3 linked regions of the Drosophila melanogaster genome follow. The protein of the gene in region 2 interacts with the protein of the main gene of each other region in a pairwise test. Each region holds a gene or a part of one and is shown on either strand. Other genes may lie near its edges. The genes, in order: Traf-like, CG13124 and mxt.

The links.
Region 1: the proteins of CG13124 (region 2) and Traf-like interact in a two-hybrid assay, tested with the Drosophila melanogaster proteins (2 studies listed by BioGRID).
Region 3: the proteins of CG13124 (region 2) and mxt interact in a two-hybrid assay, tested with the Drosophila melanogaster proteins (2 studies listed by BioGRID).

Annotation. Positions count from the first base shown.
Region 1 is NC_004354.4:16,413,287-16,418,091, forward strand, and holds Traf-like (TNF-receptor-associated factor-like), read left to right. Parts: upstream 1-1,759; 5' UTR 1,760-2,137; coding exon 2,138-2,299; coding exon of another isoform or gene 2,300-2,370; coding exon 2,371-2,799; intron 2,800-2,868; coding exon 2,869-3,277; intron 3,278-3,332; coding exon 3,333-3,448; intron 3,449-3,508; coding exon 3,509-3,817; 3' UTR 3,818-4,299; downstream 4,300-4,805. Other genes in the region: CG4301 (uncharacterized protein), read left to right, coding at 1-343, 408-734, 801-1,014; AnxB11 (annexin B11), read right to left, coding at 4,544-4,609, 4,670-4,738, 4,795-4,805.
Region 2 is NT_033779.5:9,902,854-9,910,320, forward strand, and holds CG13124 (uncharacterized protein), read right to left. Parts: upstream 5,781-7,467; 5' UTR 5,572-5,780; exon of another isoform or gene 5,455-5,571; intron 5,003-5,454; 5' UTR 4,755-5,002; intron 4,695-4,754; 5' UTR 4,198-4,694; intron 3,591-4,197; 5' UTR 3,321-3,590; coding exon 3,180-3,320; intron 3,119-3,179; coding exon 3,022-3,118; intron 2,439-3,021; coding exon 2,285-2,438; intron 2,231-2,284; coding exon of another isoform or gene 2,200-2,230; coding exon 1,974-2,199; intron 1,906-1,973; coding exon 1,429-1,905; intron 1,364-1,428; coding exon 1,151-1,363; intron 1,089-1,150; coding exon 864-1,088; 3' UTR 526-863; downstream 1-525. Other genes in the region: Muc30E (mucin 30E), read right to left, coding at 1-205, 262-264; Etl1, read right to left, coding at 6,386-7,012, 7,071-7,373, 7,433-7,467.
Region 3 is NT_033779.5:4,841,987-4,848,842, reverse strand, and holds mxt (mextli), read left to right. Parts: upstream 1-1,547; 5' UTR 1,548-1,604; exon of another isoform or gene 1,605-1,679; intron 1,680-2,078; exon of another isoform or gene 2,079-2,127; intron 2,128-2,492; exon of another isoform or gene 2,493-2,564; intron 2,565-2,626; 5' UTR 2,627-2,799; coding exon 2,800-3,201; intron 3,202-3,267; coding exon 3,268-3,589; intron 3,590-3,684; coding exon 3,685-3,756; intron 3,757-4,070; coding exon 4,071-4,131; intron 4,132-4,196; coding exon 4,197-4,674; intron 4,675-4,731; coding exon 4,732-5,125; intron 5,126-5,184; coding exon 5,185-5,783; 3' UTR 5,784-6,259; downstream 6,260-6,856. Other genes in the region: CG11927 (uncharacterized protein), read right to left, coding at 1-988. UniProt on the Drosophila melanogaster protein: Plays a role in promoting translation.

The sequences.
Region 1 (4,805 bases), on a different chromosome or scaffold from region 2:
TGATCCAGGAGGCTCACGTGGGCATCGGCATCATGGGACGCGAGGGCAGGCAGGCGGCACGATGCGCCGATTTTGCCTTCGCCAAGTTTTGCATGCTCAAGAGATTGCTTCTCGTCCATGGACACTATCACAGTGTCCGACTGTCCCTGCTGGTGCTGTACTTCTTCTACAAGAACATCGTCTTTATGGGCATCATGTTCCTGTTCCAGTTTCACACGCTGTTCTCCTCATCCTCCGTCTACGATTCGCTATTCCTTACCTTGTACAATGTGATATACACCTCGCTGCCCATTTTGTTCATAGCTATCTCCGAGAAGCCATACACCGAGGAGAAGTTGATGAGGTAACAGTGGGTTCAATCGTTTATATGTATAATGTTGATGTTACTAAAAATGCAACTTGAACAGAACGCCACAGCTTTACAAGAAGAACACGGACAACAAGCAGCTCCACTGGCCGTACTTCCTGATGTGGGTCCTATTTGCGATCTACCACAGTGTCATCATATTCTACTTCGCCTTCTGCTTCTTCTACTACAACAACGTTCTCCTGAACTACGGACAGACGGTGGCCTTCTCCTGCTTCGGCACCCTCCTCATGTGGACGGTGGTGGTGGTCGTGAACCTTAAGCTCTGGCTCGAGTCAATGTATCTGTCCTTTTGGTATATATTCACCATTATCATTTCCATTTTGGGCTTTGTAGTCACAACGGTTATCTACAACGTTATCAATCTGTGAGTTCATGGCTACGAATGTATCCATTTAAGGTTTAAACTAATATGTATATGTATTATTTGCAGGGACTACGACACCGACATCTACTGGGCCTACAACAATCTGTTGGCCTCACTGCCAGTCTGGCTGTGGATCATAGTGACCTGTGTGGCCTGCCTGGTACCCGACTATACCATCCGAATGCTCCAGAGGGCGCTCAACATAAAGAGTTTCAGCATTTTTCCCGGAAAACAACGGAAACTTAAGATGCGCGAGAAGTTTGAGTCCACATACTTGTAATCGTCGATTAGGCTATAGTTTTTATACCCCTAATTTATTTATTTCCTCATGTATACAATTTTTTTTTTTTTTGTTAGATAAACAAATTTTTGTTAAACGTTTGAACAATAGATTTGATTTCTGACCACCACCTTAGAGGTAGGAAAGTATCTCAACTTCCCAAATGGAGAACCTTGAAATCGTATGCTAACACTCGCAATCAACTGGGAAGTACGACATTTTAGGCTGATAACATTTTTATCATAATCTCGGCGACTTATTGAGAGCAAGTGCAACTACACTTGGAAAAATGGTTCGTTTACGAAAATGCTGGGTTTCAATACAGCTACACGATACAAACATCTAATTAATAAAGGATTTATTTAATATTTTTCCTACATCGGATATTGTTTAAAAATATATACGAAAGTATATAGCCCGTTTTTATCACAGTTTAGCCGTTGCCCCACTTTTGATACCATAAAGTAGGGCGGCGAGTCAGTAAATGTACTTCAATCCCGATCCACATATGTGTACGTAGGGCACCTGTTGGTTCGGCCATACCCACTGCCACGCCCACGATCACTGCCGCCCACCACATTGTTATCTAGTTGATGGCGTCGTTACCATTTGCATTGCCGAGGCAATGGACAAAGTTTTGATTGTGAAGCCCGTTTTTCATTGATAATGTTATCTCCACTCGCATTCCGAATATGTTTGTACAAGGGGAGCTAGAGATATGAACATTTTGCAGGTACATATGTGGCCATATAGTCGCTGGAAGATCTGGTGACGGTTACGATTTTAGTGGATTCTCGGTGGCTGTGTTTTCCTGGTCGTAGTTCGCCAAGTTAGTGGTCAATACGATTCGTTGGTTGCTCTCGCATTTCGAAATAGTGGTAATCGCACCAAATGGCAGTGCTATCAGTTCGAGGTTGTCGTATAGATTCCCATGGACGCCCTAATGCTAACACATGTGCAAAGCTATATCTAAACCATGTCTGTGTGCGCCGCGTATGACTATGCCCAAGGAAATTCTTAATCATTTTTGGCTGAGTTTAGTGTGCATAGGGCGGTGCTCGCAGCGCCAGAGAATTTGCTGATCCAAAGTTTCAATCGAATTTGCTTTCCTTTAATCAATATAATGTCACTGACCAAGTCGTCGTCGAGAAAGGATCTAACCGAGCAGAATCAGTATCAGAATCAGAATGAGAATCAGAATCAGCCCAAATCGACGACCATAGTCAAGTATGAGAAGTCGTCGTGCCTCTTCTGCAACGAATGGTTCGATGCCCAGACATTCACGGTTATAATCGTCCAACTTTTCAGTTCACCTTTGATTACTATTACATTACTCCTCTTTGGATGCGACTGCAGGAACACCTGATCCACTGCGGCCAGGTGCTGGAGGAGTGTCCCAACGGCTGTCAGGCCTTCATTCCACGCATCCGTATGCGATCCCATCTGAAGGAGTGTCCACGCAACCAGCACAATCTGAGCAATCAGCAACGCATGAGTGTCAGCATGGATCGCCTGGATAGGCAGTCGGATCAGCGTCTCCTGGTCATTGAACAGGACGTGGGCACCATTCGGTCCGTTCTCAACGAGGAGATACGACAGCGTTTGCATCTCATTACCGATGTGGGCAACATACGGAAGCAGAACCAGGTCGTCGAGGACTGGACCCGCGAAACCGAGAAGGCAATGGACGATCTGCGTCGCCAGATGGAGGAGGAAACCAATCGGAAGGCATTCGCCATCGAACAGAACCAGCTGGATGTCCAGTACTGCTGTGATATCACACAGGTTAGTTAATGCTACTTTATTTAAATATATATATACTATCTATCTTTAATGTGCATATCTCCGTCGAAGTCCTTGAAAGAGCAAGTGGAGTCCAGGCTGGATGAGGCCCAAAAGCTGGTCAATCAGCTCTCGGCGGACGTGACCTATCACCAGAATCAGCTAAACGACAATATCCTAAAGCTGGAGGAGCTGATCTTTGAGAACGAGCGGCTCAACAGGGAGAAGTTCTTTCAGATCGAGGAGTTTCTGCAGCAGATCAATGAGGACATCAAAACAAAGCTGGGCAACAGTGACTATGTGACGTCAAAGCAGGCCACATTGGACTATGAGGTGAAGAATGTGAAGAACATTGTGTGCGAAACGGAGGAACGTTGCGATAAATTGGATCGAGCACTTCACCAGACCATGCAGAATATATCGGATTTGGAGACCCAAATGGCCATGCAGCAGCGGATTGCCAGTGTCCAGAATATAAGGGGTACATATTGTTGGTTCAATATAGTAATTTAAATATATAATATCTGGTCGTACAGGACACTTGATTTGGCGCATCAAGGATTACTCGAAAAAACTGGAAGAGTCCAAGCAGTACGACACCATCCTCCATAGCGCCATGTTCTCCAATAAAGCCTTTGGCTATGCTCTACGGGTGAGTTGAGGTTGGATCTTGGTTGGATATGCCATTTATATATGTATACCCCATTACTAGCTGGATATATACTTGAATGGCAAGGGCACCTGGAAGGGCAGGAACATGATCGCCTGCTTGAACGTTCTATCCGGAGAGTACGATCCCCTTCTGGCCTGGCCATGCCGCCTTCAGGCCGAGATCATCATCCGGGATCAGTGCACGAATGTGGCAGATGCCGAGGATTATGTGAAGACCATCTTTGTGCGCAAGAAGAGCGATGATTTTATCCAAAGCAACCAGTACTTCCATATACCACACAAGGTAATCACCAGTCGCAACTATCTTCGCAACGATTCCATGTTCATCGAGGTTCGAGTTCTAAAATAAAACCCATGCAGCATCGCTATCCCACCCACCAGGAGCGATAAGAAAAAAAAAATCCAATTGCGGATTGTCACATACATAAAACATAATTTATTCCATTGAGAGCGAACTGGAAGTTAAAAACCCGCTTACAAACACGAGTATGTGTACATATATAGTGTATAAGTGCATACGAATCGATTCATCGTTTCAATATGCGTATATTGTAGTTTTAAATGTCATTGCAGTTTTAAATGCTTTTTTTCAAATTAGGCAATAGTCACATTGAGGCACTGTCGAGACGAAGTCGGTAGTTAGAAAGCATAGCTTTTATTGCAACATTTCCCTGGTCACTTTGTCAAGATATAAGCAACTCTTTCATTTTTTGGTTTTTCATTTCGAGCAAATTAACAAGCGATTTTTGAGAGGAACTTCCATATTATTTGTCTTTACGAACGCATTTAAATACAAAGGTCTTTTAATAAAATACAACTTCAACACTTGTCAACTGTCGGTTCCCATGTTCATTTCTTTGAAAGAGGTATCAAATGTCTGATCCCGTTCAGGTATTATTTGTGTGCACTTATAGTCTACGTTGTGGATCATAATTGTCTGGCTTCGTTGGCGTGTTCTTGTATGTTGTATGCATTTAAATGAACGAATACATAGAAGAGATAATACATATTCGAATAATTGATTTCACGTCGGATTTGGTTTGAATAATACATATATATGTATATGCGGAGATTCTTAAGAGGAGCGCTGTTCACCCACCAGGGCATAAAGGGCGTGCTTGTAGTGGCCCGAAGTATCGCCCTGCAAGTAGGATTTTATATGATTATAGAATATAGATATAGATAGATATATATATCTTACCTTGATCCAGCTCTTGAGGGACTTGCCGTACAGACGTTCGAACGCTACCTTAATGTCCGTCATATCAATCTGAAAAACGTTGCAACATTTTAGGGTTGAATGATATTATATATAGATGTACTTACCTCGCTGCGCG
Region 2 (7,467 bases):
CCAGTGTTGAAATCTTTGTGGTCGAATTATTGCCATCACCCGGACCAAATGGACAGCCCGGGAGAAAAGGATTTATCCAGCAGTAATCAGGATATTTTTCAGCCGATTCTGTAGTTGATTCGTCCCCAAACTTAATTTCACTGCCCTCCAGCGCTGCATTTGCAGAGTGATAAAGGGCAAGCCAAATAAAACAACTTAGAACGACCTATAGTTAAGGACAATATTGGTATGAGGTAACTACTAATCTTATGTTCGACTTACCATTGCAACTTGTCGAGCAAGACTCTGGATTTTTGAGCCTTAGTTGGTGCTTAAATAGGGAGCAGAATAAATGGCATAGCAGGCCGCTGATAAGGTCGTCCAGGGTCGTAGTTCAACAAAGTTCAACAGGTAAGCGCGAGTCATTATTACAAAACCAAAAAGATAAGTTTTTAAAATTTGTATGCATTTGAAGCATACTGTTTTATTGTCTTTTTGTTTGTGATGACCAATAATGCAGTGCCCCGCATAAAATAAACTTGCACCCTCGTTTGACTAGCTGTGATTTATTACACATAAATATATGGATTCACATAAATGTTGAGCCTTAGATTATAGCACAGTCCAAAGATATCGAATCCAAGAGTTCGATCTTATTTGGTACTGTGCTTGGTGTGTAGTGTGCAAGTCTCGGGTTAGTTTCTCTCTATAGCTGCTGCCGAAATAAATATTGCTTATGTCTAGGTAAGAATACAATAAGATAAATAGAACAGAAGTTTTCCAGGCCCTAAATGCAATGCGACAACAGAATCAATTGCTCATGGTGTCCTGATGCTTGCACAGTGCCCTTATCCCCGCCATGTCCCCAGCTCCAGATCTCGTTCCTAATTGTTAGTGTGCGTGTAGTAAAGAACCGTATTGCCTGGTAGCTGCCAGTGGGAGGCCTTCAGCTCGATGAGTTGGAGAAGAGTGCGCCGAATGGAGGCCGCAGATTCGCCGGCATTCAAAAAGGCATCGCGAACCAGACTCATGAGTAACTCCAGTTGCTGGGGCAACTGCTGCTCCATGTCCTGGCCAATACAGGTCAAAACATAAAACAAGCACTCAATCTGAAAGTTATGAATAGTAATCACATGTATTATTCCAACCACTTGATCAATCAAAAACGTACCTCTGAAAGTGATCTAATGGGTGGACGCACGCAATCCCCGCAACATTTGGAGAGCAGACTAAGCAGTACCAGTGGCGGAGGAGTGCCCTCGTGGTGGGTGCGTAGCTGGAGCTGCCGACGTTTCAGCTGACAAAACATTTCCGTAAGGAAGGCCATAAAGGCAGTGAATCGGACACGTGATGGCGACTTCATGCCCTGGATGGCAAACAACAGCTGCATGCGGGGTAAAAGATTTTTAAATATGAAATGATCATGGAAATTTATGCTGAATTGCCTACCTTCTCACGCTCCTGGTACCACTGACGGCATGTGTTGAGGAGCGCCTCGAGAAACGTTTCCTTCTGCTCCCGGGCAATGATGTTCAGACACAGTCGTGATATTGGCAGAGCAAAACGGCGACTCTCCACCGCGCGTTTGATGAACTGCGATGTCAGTTCCATGAGACAGCGAGAGTTCAGTTTATTGGGATCCTCCAGGGCCGTGTCAATAAGCGCCTGGATCTCTGGCGTGAACTGTCCTATGTCGGCCACCTCGTTGCCCAAACCTAGTCCCAATCCGGCCATTCCACGAGTAAGGGCATCCGCCGACGACAACGACTTGGAGCGTTGCAGTGCATTTCCATTCATGTAAGGATCTACTCCATTAATATTCGCCTGATAAGGCTGAGCATAGTTGTTGTTTAGTTGACCAAACTGATTATGCGAAGCCACTTTGTGACCTCGGGGCTCAGGTGCAAACTTTACACGATTTGTTGTCTGGAATTTAGGTGTTTATTTATTGAAATATTGTTTTTTTTTACCAATATTTTTAAATTAGAGCTCACGTGAAGTATATTTCCACTGGATGGCGAGTTCATTAGCGGCAGCTGACCGCTGAGGGCACCGGTATTGATTGGATACGTCACCAGGATCGACCGGTGGTTGGCCTTCAAGCCCGGCATGTTGCCGAGGGAGTGTCCGGCCTGGCGGCGATTCACGTTTCCGTACGGACCCAAACCCGGTGCAACTCCCACTCCGGGTCCATTGGTGAGCGGAAGTATTAGCGACGAACTGGAAGAATGTTGTAGACTGTAGTTTAGCTCTGCAAGGAGACGGGAAGAGGGGTAAACAATGGAATTAAAAGACTTTGCATTACCGGTTGCCGAGTGCCTCGGCCGGTGCCCCGGAGCTGGTTGTCATTGTGAACTCCTGGGCATTGACGTTCAGCTTGTTGGCGACACCACCGATAGCACCATTCGGACCATCACCACCGACACCACCGGCTGGAGCGGCTAGCTCTCCGCGCACATCTGAGACAGAGTCAAGTGGGGATTATTGTTGGGGAAGGGTCGGTATACCCAAGAGTGTATGTGATGATGTTGGGGGGTAGGACAACATTGTGTGGAGGGACGGAATGTACAGGGTATGAGACAGAGATATGAAAAGAATCAAAAGAAAAATGTGGTCTCAGTAAGTATTAATTGGAACTGATAAGCTGGCAGCAAAGAATAGAGCATCTTAAGCTGGGCTGGCTGAAGTACATATGTGACTATTGACATTTAATATTTACATTTTTAAATATGCTCAATCTCACTTTTTAAGGACTAAGCTGGAAAAAAAACGGAAATAGTCCCTATAAAATATGCCTATAATAAATATCGTTATATGTACATGTATGTTTTTGATTATTCAGTACCTTTCTCGTCCAAATGCATATATCTACACTTGATGTGTTTGTATTTCTAAGCCACCACTAAAATAATACCGATTAAATATCCTCGAAATATAAAAATTCTCTATTATATTGAGTTCTTTAACTTCTTTAGCACCGAGCACCCTGCCAAGCACCCAAGCGAATTAGAGAATTTATAACGAATGACTAAAACAACTCACTGGGAGGCCTGTAGATATCCATGGCTGGTTTGCCCCTCATCTGTCCCGTCTGATTGCCAGGTACGTTGAAAGCCAGACTTCGCCGTTTGTTGATATTCTGAATGAACAAACAATTATATAAATATGGCTGCTAATCGACATCGATATGGTGTACCCACCTGTTGATTTGAGGTGCGCACAAAGCTGCGTTCGCGGGAGATAACGCCGGGCTGAAATTCCGGTGATTTGCGCACCTTCCGCGTATCATTCTGTTGGCCATTCATGCTGGCCTGGGCCAGTAGTTCCACCTTTTCGGCCATCCTGCGATTTTTGCGCGAGTACTGCTTCTGCTCTATTTGGGTAAAACCTAATTGAAGATGAAAGCCTAATCTTTGGTAGATTATCCTCCGGTTAATCGATTCACAACTGGGATTCCGTCGAATAAACGTCTAAATGTGTGGCTTCAGTATTTGAGTAAATTTGTACATATCACAATAGTTGGTTTCCTTTCCTCCTTTATCGAGTTGAGTTCTCTTCTTAATACGATGTTGAGGGATATCTTCCCCTTTTGCAGATTCAGATTGCCGGGTCTGGAATACAATGAAAATTAATTATATACTTCAGCATATCGCATTATATTATTGTCAACATATATCAAGTAAGATACACAAAAACTCTTTAACCCACATGCGAGAGGGAGGCGCAAACTACTTGATCTTGTCGAGCAACCAACCGGCTTTATGGCCGAGCGTAGGAGTTGCATCTGGTTTGGAACCTCTGGCTAGAGCACTTCATCTCCGAACATGACATCAGCCCCCGAGTAATTCTTATTCTGCGGCCCACAAGAAGTCCGAAGTGAGTCTCCGCGAAAGATACATACGAAAGATACATTGTACAGTCAGGCCTCTCTACCATCTATTATCACAAAATGTGGCTTGAATAAATCTTTGACTCTTCTTACTTATATGTACCATCCACTTATATCAATAAAACAATGAACTTGTCAAAATGTGGTAATTAACGAACTTAGAGAATCTTACATAGGTTAACTGCCCTGTGAGAGTGACTACTATCATAGCAATGTGAACTTGCCTCGCTAATTGCTCTACACTTCCCATTCTCAGATTGCCAAACAGAGTGCTCGGAATAAGCTAGGCTGGTATTATGAATCAGCGTCGGATGGACGGATATACTCACCTTTTAGTGCAAAAATATTTCCTTCAAATTGTTTCGTTGTTGCTGCTGCTGTTGCTGCTTGAGCTTTTGTTTATCTCTGTCTATAGTGTATATATAGATGGGTTTGTTTGTGCGTTGTTGCTATTCGTCGATTCGATTGTTGCTTGGTGCCGCAGCTTAGTTGTTCGTATAAAGATATTTATCTACTTCGTAGATACGCTCTTTCGTGTCTCGTTTAATCATGCTTGGCATGCGCCAAGTCAAGCCGTAAACAGTGTCAGAAATAATTAATATTTCGAAGCGTCCCTCCACGCCCAAATAGTCCGCATATGGGGTAATACACTAGATGGTTATGGATTGCGGGCCTCTAGACACAGATACAGATGCAGGCAGATACAGCGGCAAATGCAAAAAAAGGCACAGATACGCATACGCATACGCACTCACACAAACGCACTGTGATCACAATTGATTTTAGTGCCTATTGTTGTTGCTTTTGCTCGGATGACTGGTGGCTGCTGTGCGAGCGAGAGGGCGAGATGAGTGATATGAGCGGGTGGCTCGTTAAGTATACGCACCGTTGGTATCGTCTATTTTTGGTTTGTCGCTTTGTGCTGCTTGTTCTCGGCTCGTTGTCTGCTCGTCGTCAATTATTACCGATTCCGTTTTGGTTTCTTAATTTTTGTTCGCGTTGTTGTGTTCGTTCGTTTTTCTTTTTATTGTGATTTTTCTCTCATTTAATGCAGATCGCTCGCTATTTATGTATATAATATAGTTATTGTTCGGATTACTCTCACACGTACACATACAAGCGGTCACTACACGCATACAGGCGCGGCCAAAATGAGGGGATTATTAATTGTTATTTATATTTTCCTATACTACTCTTCATGTTTAGCCTGCACGCGCTGTTTGTTTTCACCCGACTTGTGCGCCGTATTCTTTGGCAATTGCCAAAAACTGCTCACATGTGCCGCCGCATCTATATTTATAGTATATGACAGCGCTGCGAATGATGACTGTATCGCAGCACTATGTAGATACATCTATAAACCTATATGCAGTTGGCGTTGCTTCCGTTTCCGTTGGTCAAAAACAATAATATCAGCGGGCTGGCAGAAAGACAAAATAAAAAAAAGAACAGACTATTTCAAATTATTGGCCCGATTTATTTAGCGTTTTAGTCGCCGCCGCGGCACAATATGATTTCCGCTCGCAAACAGTTTGTCTATTTTTAAATAGAATTCAAGAAAGTATTCGGGGAGGAAACGTATGTACTTATGCATGAATCACATAATCCCGATTCGTAAGAGCAAAATATAAAGGATCGGGGATGTAATTGGATTTAAACACATTTAACTACGGGACAATGGAACCTTGGAATTTTGGTTTTACTTTAGGTTTCCATGGGTTCGTTGCTGTCGATCGAGACACTATATCTGCGGGGTATATCTATTTATCGATGTACGCCGTATTATGTGAGCATGTATGTATATTCGCACGTATGTATGTATATGGATGTGAGTAACGCTGCCGGCTGCTACACTGGGCGCAGGCTTTAACTTAAAAATTAAATCATCGGCGCGAGCGATCAGTTGAAGACTAAAGACTTGATGAATCGCCGCGCCAGCCGAAAGCTCTTCATTACAGTTGTGCTCTCTGGAAAGCGATTCTCCGCTTCTCTTTGCACCACACAACCAAAAGAATCTCGTGGGAAAATGCGAGAGCGATCCGTTTAGGGTTGTCGAGCGGCTCGAACTATAGAGCAAATATGTAGAAATAAATGAACATGATCGCATTCGTACACAAAATGATCTTTATCCTTATAACAATAGTTTCAATTCGATACATAAACAGAAATTACAGAAATGAAAACTAATCATGATGACAAATCAATAAAACAAGAATATTAACTTGTCTGCCTTGGTTTATCGTGGAAATGTTGCTGTTACTAATGAAGAAAAACTAATGTCGCCTCAACGGTGAAAAATTACTAACTCGATTTATGATCCACTTTTGGCATACCATACACCAAATCTCTCCTTGCATACAAGTTTAAAAAATATACAAATACAATATTGTTAGAATAATTCAAACGATGTTAACAGGATTTGACAGCGGTAGGACGATTAGACCAAGTTGATCAAATGCTCGCGCAGAATAAATACGGAGGTGGGGACAAGGACGAGAACGAGGACAACGAGAATGCCTATTTGGCGGGCGAGGCTATGGAGTTGTTTAGTGAATTGTTTAGCTGCTCCTCCTGATCCTTGTCCAAGCCAAGGGCTGTGGTCAACAGCTTGACCACACATCGCTGCTCGTGCACCTCGCCCTTCTCGTTGGAAGTAATGTCCTTTTCTAGTTTTAGCTTCTCTTCGGCGGCCATCAGGATGCCCTCCTCGATGGTACTCTCGGAAATGAGACGGTAAATGGTCACCGGACGCTGCTGTCCCATGCGATGACACCGATCCTCGGCCTGTTTATCGTTGTACGGGTTGAAGTCGATATCGTGAATGACACAGGTGTCGGCAGCCGTCAGGTTGATGCCAACGCCACCGGCTTTGGTGGAGAGTAGGAACACAAAGATGCTATCGTCCCCATTGAAGTCGGTGATCAAATCCTGGCGGACATTTACGGCGGTCGCCCCGTCCAGGCGACAGAAACCAAACTTTCGTATTCGCAGATACTCCTCCACAATGTCCAGCATCATGGTGAACTGGCTGAAAAGCAACACACGGTGTCCTTCTGCCTTCAGTTTTGGAAGCAACGTATCCAGGTAGAGGAATTTTCCAGAATCGCATATCAAATTATCGGGTATTTTCACGTCGTAAAACTCCTGAAAGATGCACAAATTTAGTCATTGTCATTGGACAACCTCTTTGATAGTCACTTACATGCTTGTTCATCATCTGATAGACCTGAAAGTCTGACATAACGGCTAGCTCTTCAAAGATGTATTGCTCGTTGGTCTTTTTAAAGGAACTGGCATTAGCCAGGCGCTTAGAGAATCCACGTAGATTGGCGTCGGTGAAGTAGTGACGCATCAGCAACGGATGGTTTGCAATGCGGCGCATCTCCATCATGATCGCTATGCCGGCCCTTTCGCTGCTGCTGCACACCTCGCCCTTGTTATTGGAATAATAATCGACCAGCTCGTGATAGTATATTTTCTGTTGACTGCTCATGGGCACTTTTTCCTTTAAATAAAAAACAATTTAATTATTGTATAATATTTATTTTCGCCCGACGTACTTACCACCAGGCTTAGCTTCTTGGGCAGGTTCTTAAGGA
Region 3 (6,856 bases), 5.1 Mb from region 2:
GCTTCCAGTTGTGGAACTCACGGTTTTTAAAGGGCTTCATGGCCATACGGTACTCCTTCCACTGGCGCTGGCGCTCCTCCTTCGTACCAGGCGGTGCATCCTCGAGCGGCGGTGGTGCCTCTGGCTTCTGTATCCATTGGCCATTGACCTGGACAAATGTGCCGCAGCGCTTGGGCTTCTTGGAGGGCTGCGCTTCCCCGTTTGACGGCGAATTGTTGCCATTGCTTGGCGGTGGGGGCGGAGGCATAAGCCTCGTATCTTTGTCACTGTTGCCGCGATGGTTTACCTTGAATTTCTTGTTATTCTGGTTTGGATTGCTGCGATTGTTTTGTGCTCCCTGCTCCTTGGGTACCAGATTCCACAAGCTGGGGCACTTGGGCATGGGCGGTTGGATTGGTGGTGGTCTATGTTGTGGCGACATCATGTCCTCCCAGAACGGAGGCGGCTGCAGAGGTCGGTGATTGTGATTCCGGCGGGGCCCAGAACCACGTGGTCCTCCAAAGCCCACTGGACCACCGGGGCCCATACTGCTCATGGGACCACAGGGACCCATATTGCTTATGGGACCGCGAGGTCCTCCTGGTCCCATTGGCCCCATGGGGGGACCGCATTGTCCGGGTCCAGGCCCAAAATTGCCTCCAAAGCCCATGTTCATCAGCTGCATAGGAAGTGGAGGCGGTCGATTCATCGGAGGATAGTTCCTGTCCTGGTAGCTTTGCGGACCTCCGCCTCCATGAAAGGCATTGTTGCTATTCGAAGACCAATGTTTACGTCCGTTGCCGTTGTTGTTATTGTTGTTGTTGTTACTATTGTTATTGTTGCTCCGTTGTAGTCCGCTTTTGGTATCCGGTTTCAGTGCATCCTTGCATTTCTTCCAATCTGCAAACGACATTTTCAGCGGCTTAGTTTCAGGCTCATCTTTGCCGGACTCCGGAACGACTTCCTTGGAATCCTCTGGTGCCGCCTCCACGTCCCCGTTTTCAGACATCTCGCACCTTAGAGAGTGGGAATACACTTTATAAATATATCAACTTAATTTTATTTGAGTTTTGCTTAGCGATGGCAAACAAAAATTTCAATAACAACAAATTGAAGGAACAGCCGATGTTTTCTATCGATATTTTCGTGCTTAAAATTTTAGGGAGTTTCCCCTGAAGTATTTTCTTAAGAGTCCTGTTGTTCTTAAAAAAGAACAGTAGTTTCCAAATGTATTCTCTAAACTTTCCGCTATACCAGTAAATCTTCATTTGTTAACTAGTAAGCGATATATTAATGCCCAACGTAATATAATATATATTTAACATTTTCGATCCCATGCAGACACAACCGGCGGGGAATAGTAATTGCCCAGCGTCCAGATACCATAGTGAATTGTTGGTTATCAGCGATAAGTGTCTGATTTCGTAACATTTATTTCATATTTAAATTTAAATTTTAATACGAACACATCTGTGATGCGAAATTGATGTGAGCTTTTTGACTGCGCTTTACGTGAACTGGTCTGGATAGCTGTGGCGCATCTCTAAAATCTAACGTGTTCGATCAGGTGGCAACACCCACCGTAAAAAACGATTTTAGTCGCAGTCGCAGAGATTTTGGTTTTGGTAAGCTCTAGTAATTTATTGGAAATTACGATCCAAAATACACCGTTTTAAGAGACGTTTCAATCGGCCATTAAAGTAAATAATAAGCGCGACGAAGACTAAACATCAAAAGTGTTGAAACTAGAACGAGAGTGCAAAGTCGGTCGCCAGCAAAACGCGTAGTTTGCTTATTTTAACGAAAAGCGGCCAGTGCCATTAAAATATTACTCAATTTCACAGAGAATTTTGGCCGAAAACGGATGCAATATATGGATATATAGACCCTGTTTCCTGAAAGTTAACTTCCTTTTTGTTCTACGCCCAACACGGTCGTCAACTGCGCTGCCATCGTCGACGTCGGCAGAGGCCATTCTTGTTGTTGCTATTCTCGACATATGATTCAATAGAGCGATCGCCTCTCTCTTTCTCCCTCCCACGGACAATTTCAGTTTTTTGTAATATTTCTGTTAGCTGTGTTTTAGTTGCCCATGTTTGTTTGTTCTTGTTGTTGTTGCTGCTGCTGCTGTTGCTGCAGCGGCAGTAAGTGATATTTAAAAAAGAAATGAGTTGTTCGCATGGAGCGAAAGTCGAACTGAAATAACACAAATGGTCGTCCGTTTGTCGTTCCCATTCGATATATGCCAACAATTTTCATCAATTATTTACATATTTTGCTTTTGGAACTTCGCACCGATTAACTGAGCAGAAGCCAGAAGCTCAGAAGGCGCCAATGGGTTAATTTGGCCACTAAACTATAGATAAATCGCGGTGTTATCAGCTAAAGCCGCTTATCAAACGTGCACATCGTTAAGATATACGAGAGCTTTGCGTCGCAATATTCGAGATTCGGTCGGAAACGAGGCCAATCTCCATATCCTAAGAAACCTTTTGGTTGTCCATGCTCTCGGCCATTACTCCCAAGTTCTAATGCAATATAGTCGGCTTTGATCATCCTAGCAGCTGAAAGCATGTATCCAAATAGTACAATAGTTTTAATGTAAACAATACATTTGATCGATAACTAACCTTTCTTGTGTTTACAGGGGGAGGTGCGGAAACAGCTTCTACGATTCATTTTTGATCAATTCTTCAACAACATTTAAACGAACGAATAAGTTAGCAGACCATATAGACTGAAATCAGCAGATCCGGACACCAGGCGGGACAACCTTAAGACTTCTTCACGAGACGATATCGAATCCAACGAATCCCGAGAATGGCTCACACACACCTGGGACGCGCCGTGAAAAACATTGAGGCGCCACGCCCGTTGAAGACACAATCGCGATCGTCGTTGAAGAACAGCTACCTGGTGATCGAGGAGCTAATCCAGTTGATAGACAACGTGACCGTCGGTCTTCAGTCGTGCAACACCACGCCGGAATCGATCACGCTGCTCCTGCACAACCTCCGGGTGCATGGACCGCAACTGGAGGCGGTGTCCAAGGATACACTGGACCGGGCCTTCGTCGTTTTCCGCAACGCTTCGCAGGACGAACGGCTGAATATAACGACGCGCCTCAAGCTGCTCGAACTCATCGAGCTGCGCGCCAAGAGCTGGGACAATGACGACACAATCGCGTACTACAAGTCCAAGCAGCAGATCTCCAACGTGGAGGTGAGTAGAGTACATAGAATCGATCTCACTTTGGAAAACGATCAAATATGTATCGTTGCTTTGCAGCTGCCTTCGGAATACCAGTACGATGCCGGCGTGCAGCCTGGCGCCTTCAGCACCTCCCCCACATTCGGCGTCAGCGGCGGTGTTGGTGGCGTTAACGATGGAGCCGCAGCCGCCGCTGCCGCCGTCTTCAATGCAGCATCTGCAGCTGCAGCCGCCCAAGCTGCGGCCATTGCGGCCGTGGGCACATCCAACCAGCAGCACATGCTGCTGCCGCCCGGTGAGGTCATTCGTAATTCGGGCAAGTTCCCCAAACCGACCAAGATTCCTGGCAAGACGTACTGCAAGGACGAGGTCGTGATTCGCAATGCTGACTCCGGCAAAGGTAAGTTTTTCAATCAGCTGAGGAGTGTTCTGGAGCACACAGATCTACAGAAATGGTTTTCAATAATGTATTCCTCCATTCCCGTGGCCAAAAAGTAATGGGCATCAAGGGGCGTCGCGTGCACATGATCGAGGAGCTAAGCGAAACCATTATATCGTTTCAAAGAGGTAACTCCAGAGAGCTGGTTTTAATTGTGATCCTCACCGCACCCCCATTTCATTTGGCACGCTTATTTAAATCAATTAATGCCCGGTGGCTTCTACAAAATTTACTAATAGAAATTATAAATACGCATGTTCCAGATTTTGTCCATTCAACGACACCACATTAAGCCAAAATTGATCGTTAAAGGCATTTTGAAATCACATATTTTCATACTGTATATATGCATTTTGTTTTTAAATGTTTTCGCATCCCAATTATTTTTCATAAATATAAATGCTTTTTTCGAGAACAATTATGAATGCCTTGTTTTCATTAGTCAACCCGGGTGCCAAGGAGCGTTTGGTGCAGATTACTGGTCCAGCTGAGGATAAAATTAAGTGAGTAAAGTAAATAAATTAAAGCTAATTTACCTTTATGTCAAAATGTTTTAATTCTACGACAGCTATGCCAAACAACTTATGGAGGACACCATTCGTCGGAACGCCTCGCCGGTGCGCCTGGAACCCGCTCCTGCCGTTGGAGGATCCTGCTCCTCGCTTAACTCGTCCAACTCGGACGACGCCATTGTGCAACCAAGAACGCCAACCGGAAGCAGTTTGGCCAACCGGCTAAGCTTTAACTCGGCCCAAAACTTCATGACCGCCACAGCTGCTGCACAGCAGATCTCGCAGCAGATGCACCACCAAACGCATCACCTGCAGCACCAACAGCAGCAGCAGGTCGCCGCAGTAGCCGCCGCAGCAGCAGCGGCGGCACATGCTCAGGCGACAGCCGCTGCCGGTAAAGTCTTGCGTCCCAATCAACAGCTGCTAATGCACTCATATTCCACAAACGATGCTTCCGTAGGTGAATACAAGTTCACGGTCAACGTGGGCCAGCACCTGATCAAGATCACCGGCGACTGCTGCGAACTAGTGCGCGTGAGTAATGTTGAAGTTTTCAATTGTGAAATTTGTTAAATCCCCTGCGATTTCAAGGTGGCCAAACTCGTGCTCGATGACTATTTTAGCAGCTCGGAGTTTCTGGCATCCATTGAGGCTGGCGCCGCCTTCGACGGCACTTCGCTGGTGACCACGCCATCGACTCCGCTTCCCGGAGCCGGGCCGCCGCAATTTTGGCTGCCCGGCACGGACAGTGGCATTGGACTGAATTGCGTTGTTTCCTCGTCAGCGAACAACAATGGTGAAGGCGACGACGAGGTGTTCGCTGAGCCCAGCAATGGAGGATCATCGACTAGCAATCAGAATGGACTGGCCAGATCGCGTCGCAGCCACTTTTCGCGCAAGGAGTCCACGCCGGAGACCAAGGGCGCTCGGGAAAAGGGTGACTTGGACGATTTGGCAGGCACCAATTCCTTGAAAAGCAATGCATGTAAGATTACAATCCTTTTATGCTTAACCAAGTCTTTGATGCTTAAACTTAAATTACAGCTCGCGTTTCTTACGATATTGAACACTTGCTCTACTACTCCATGAGTCCGCACTCGTGGACCCTGCCCACCGACTGGCAAAAGATGCAGGAGACAGCGCCCTCGATTCTGCGCAACAAGGTAATTTCGCCGTTCGATGGCTCACTTGGCCGTACGGCTTACTCTTCGAACATCCCCGATGCTATCATCGCCAGTGCACCTAACTCATCAGTAATAACACATCCGTGGGCTTTAAATGCAATAACCTCCTCCCCGAACACAAATATCATCAGCACCGCCGTTGGACTAGCTGCTGTCGATGCGTCGGCAGACAACAATCCCCTAACCGTCACTAACAAGCAATCAAAAGGGATCTTCGCCGAACGCGAGAACCGTCGCCTTCCCAAAACATCGGCCGTGTCCGATCGAAACCTGTATAACAAGCAATTGCAAATCATAACTAATACTGTGGGTCAATCGGTGGCAACACAAGGAAAGCATCGCCAGTCTAGCTATCAAACATCACAAGTGAAGGCAATTTTTCAACGCTACTGCGAGGACGATGAGTTTTCATTGGCACTGTGCGAAACAGAATCGAATAATAACCGCGTTTATGTGTAATTTCATTTAATTTCATTTAATTTAATTTAATTTTACGTAGCCGGAATACGTATTATTGAATCTCAGTCACAGATAGGCTTTTCTTTTCATGTCAGTATTTTTGCTGTTTTAATTTTATATAACTTATCATTAAGAAAAGGTGAAGCGTGAAGAACTTGATAATGAATCAAGTCAATACATCATTATCATTATCATCATCCAGTCATTAGATTAACGACATACCATCGAAACCAAACCGATCGCTAGTCTTAGAGGTAACAATACATATAATGCATTGAAATTAAAATGTAACTATAGGGAGAATCTGTGTTTTGGCTGTGAAACAGATTAAGTCGTCGCTAAGGATAAGCTGGAAAGGCGGTTGAAACCGCTTAACCGCTAACAAACAAACATTCTCGAATTCAAACCAACATTTACAAATCTGTAATCAATACGATTTATATTAACTAATAAACAGGACTTTCAAAGTCCGTAACAAAGCTTGGCTGGGTTTAACTTACACCACCACACACCCCACACATTGTAAATTATAAATTGTAACTTGTGTTTTACCACCGAAGCATCATAACATCACCACCTAACCACCACTCCAGATGGCTAACTTAGTTACTAAACTGTTCCGTATGTATATATGTTCGTTCATCCCTGGATAGCTTGCGTGTCAATGTTACTTTGAAATCAGATATTAAACCATTTCTTTGTTCGACAACAGGATCTGCAGGATGAGAGCCAGCGCTTCGATGGTGATAAGTATCTGGCCAGCATTAAGACGGCCGCCAAGCGAGACATTGTGGCTGCCGATGAGGTCGAGACTCTGGACGAATAAAGCCATCAATCGAGCGGCTCGAACTGACAATATAGAGTGTCCCGGGGTGAAGTGCCTGCTCCCAGACGGAGCTGCAGTATGCTTCAATGCTTTTGGCCATGGCCACATCTAACAATCGCAAACTCAAAACGACCAAAACAAAACAAACAAAAAAAAAAGAATATTGAAAAATATGCAAACTAACCCTAGAAATTACCAACGAAATAATCAAAAATTTCAAAATAACTAGAAAATTCAACGAAGCTCT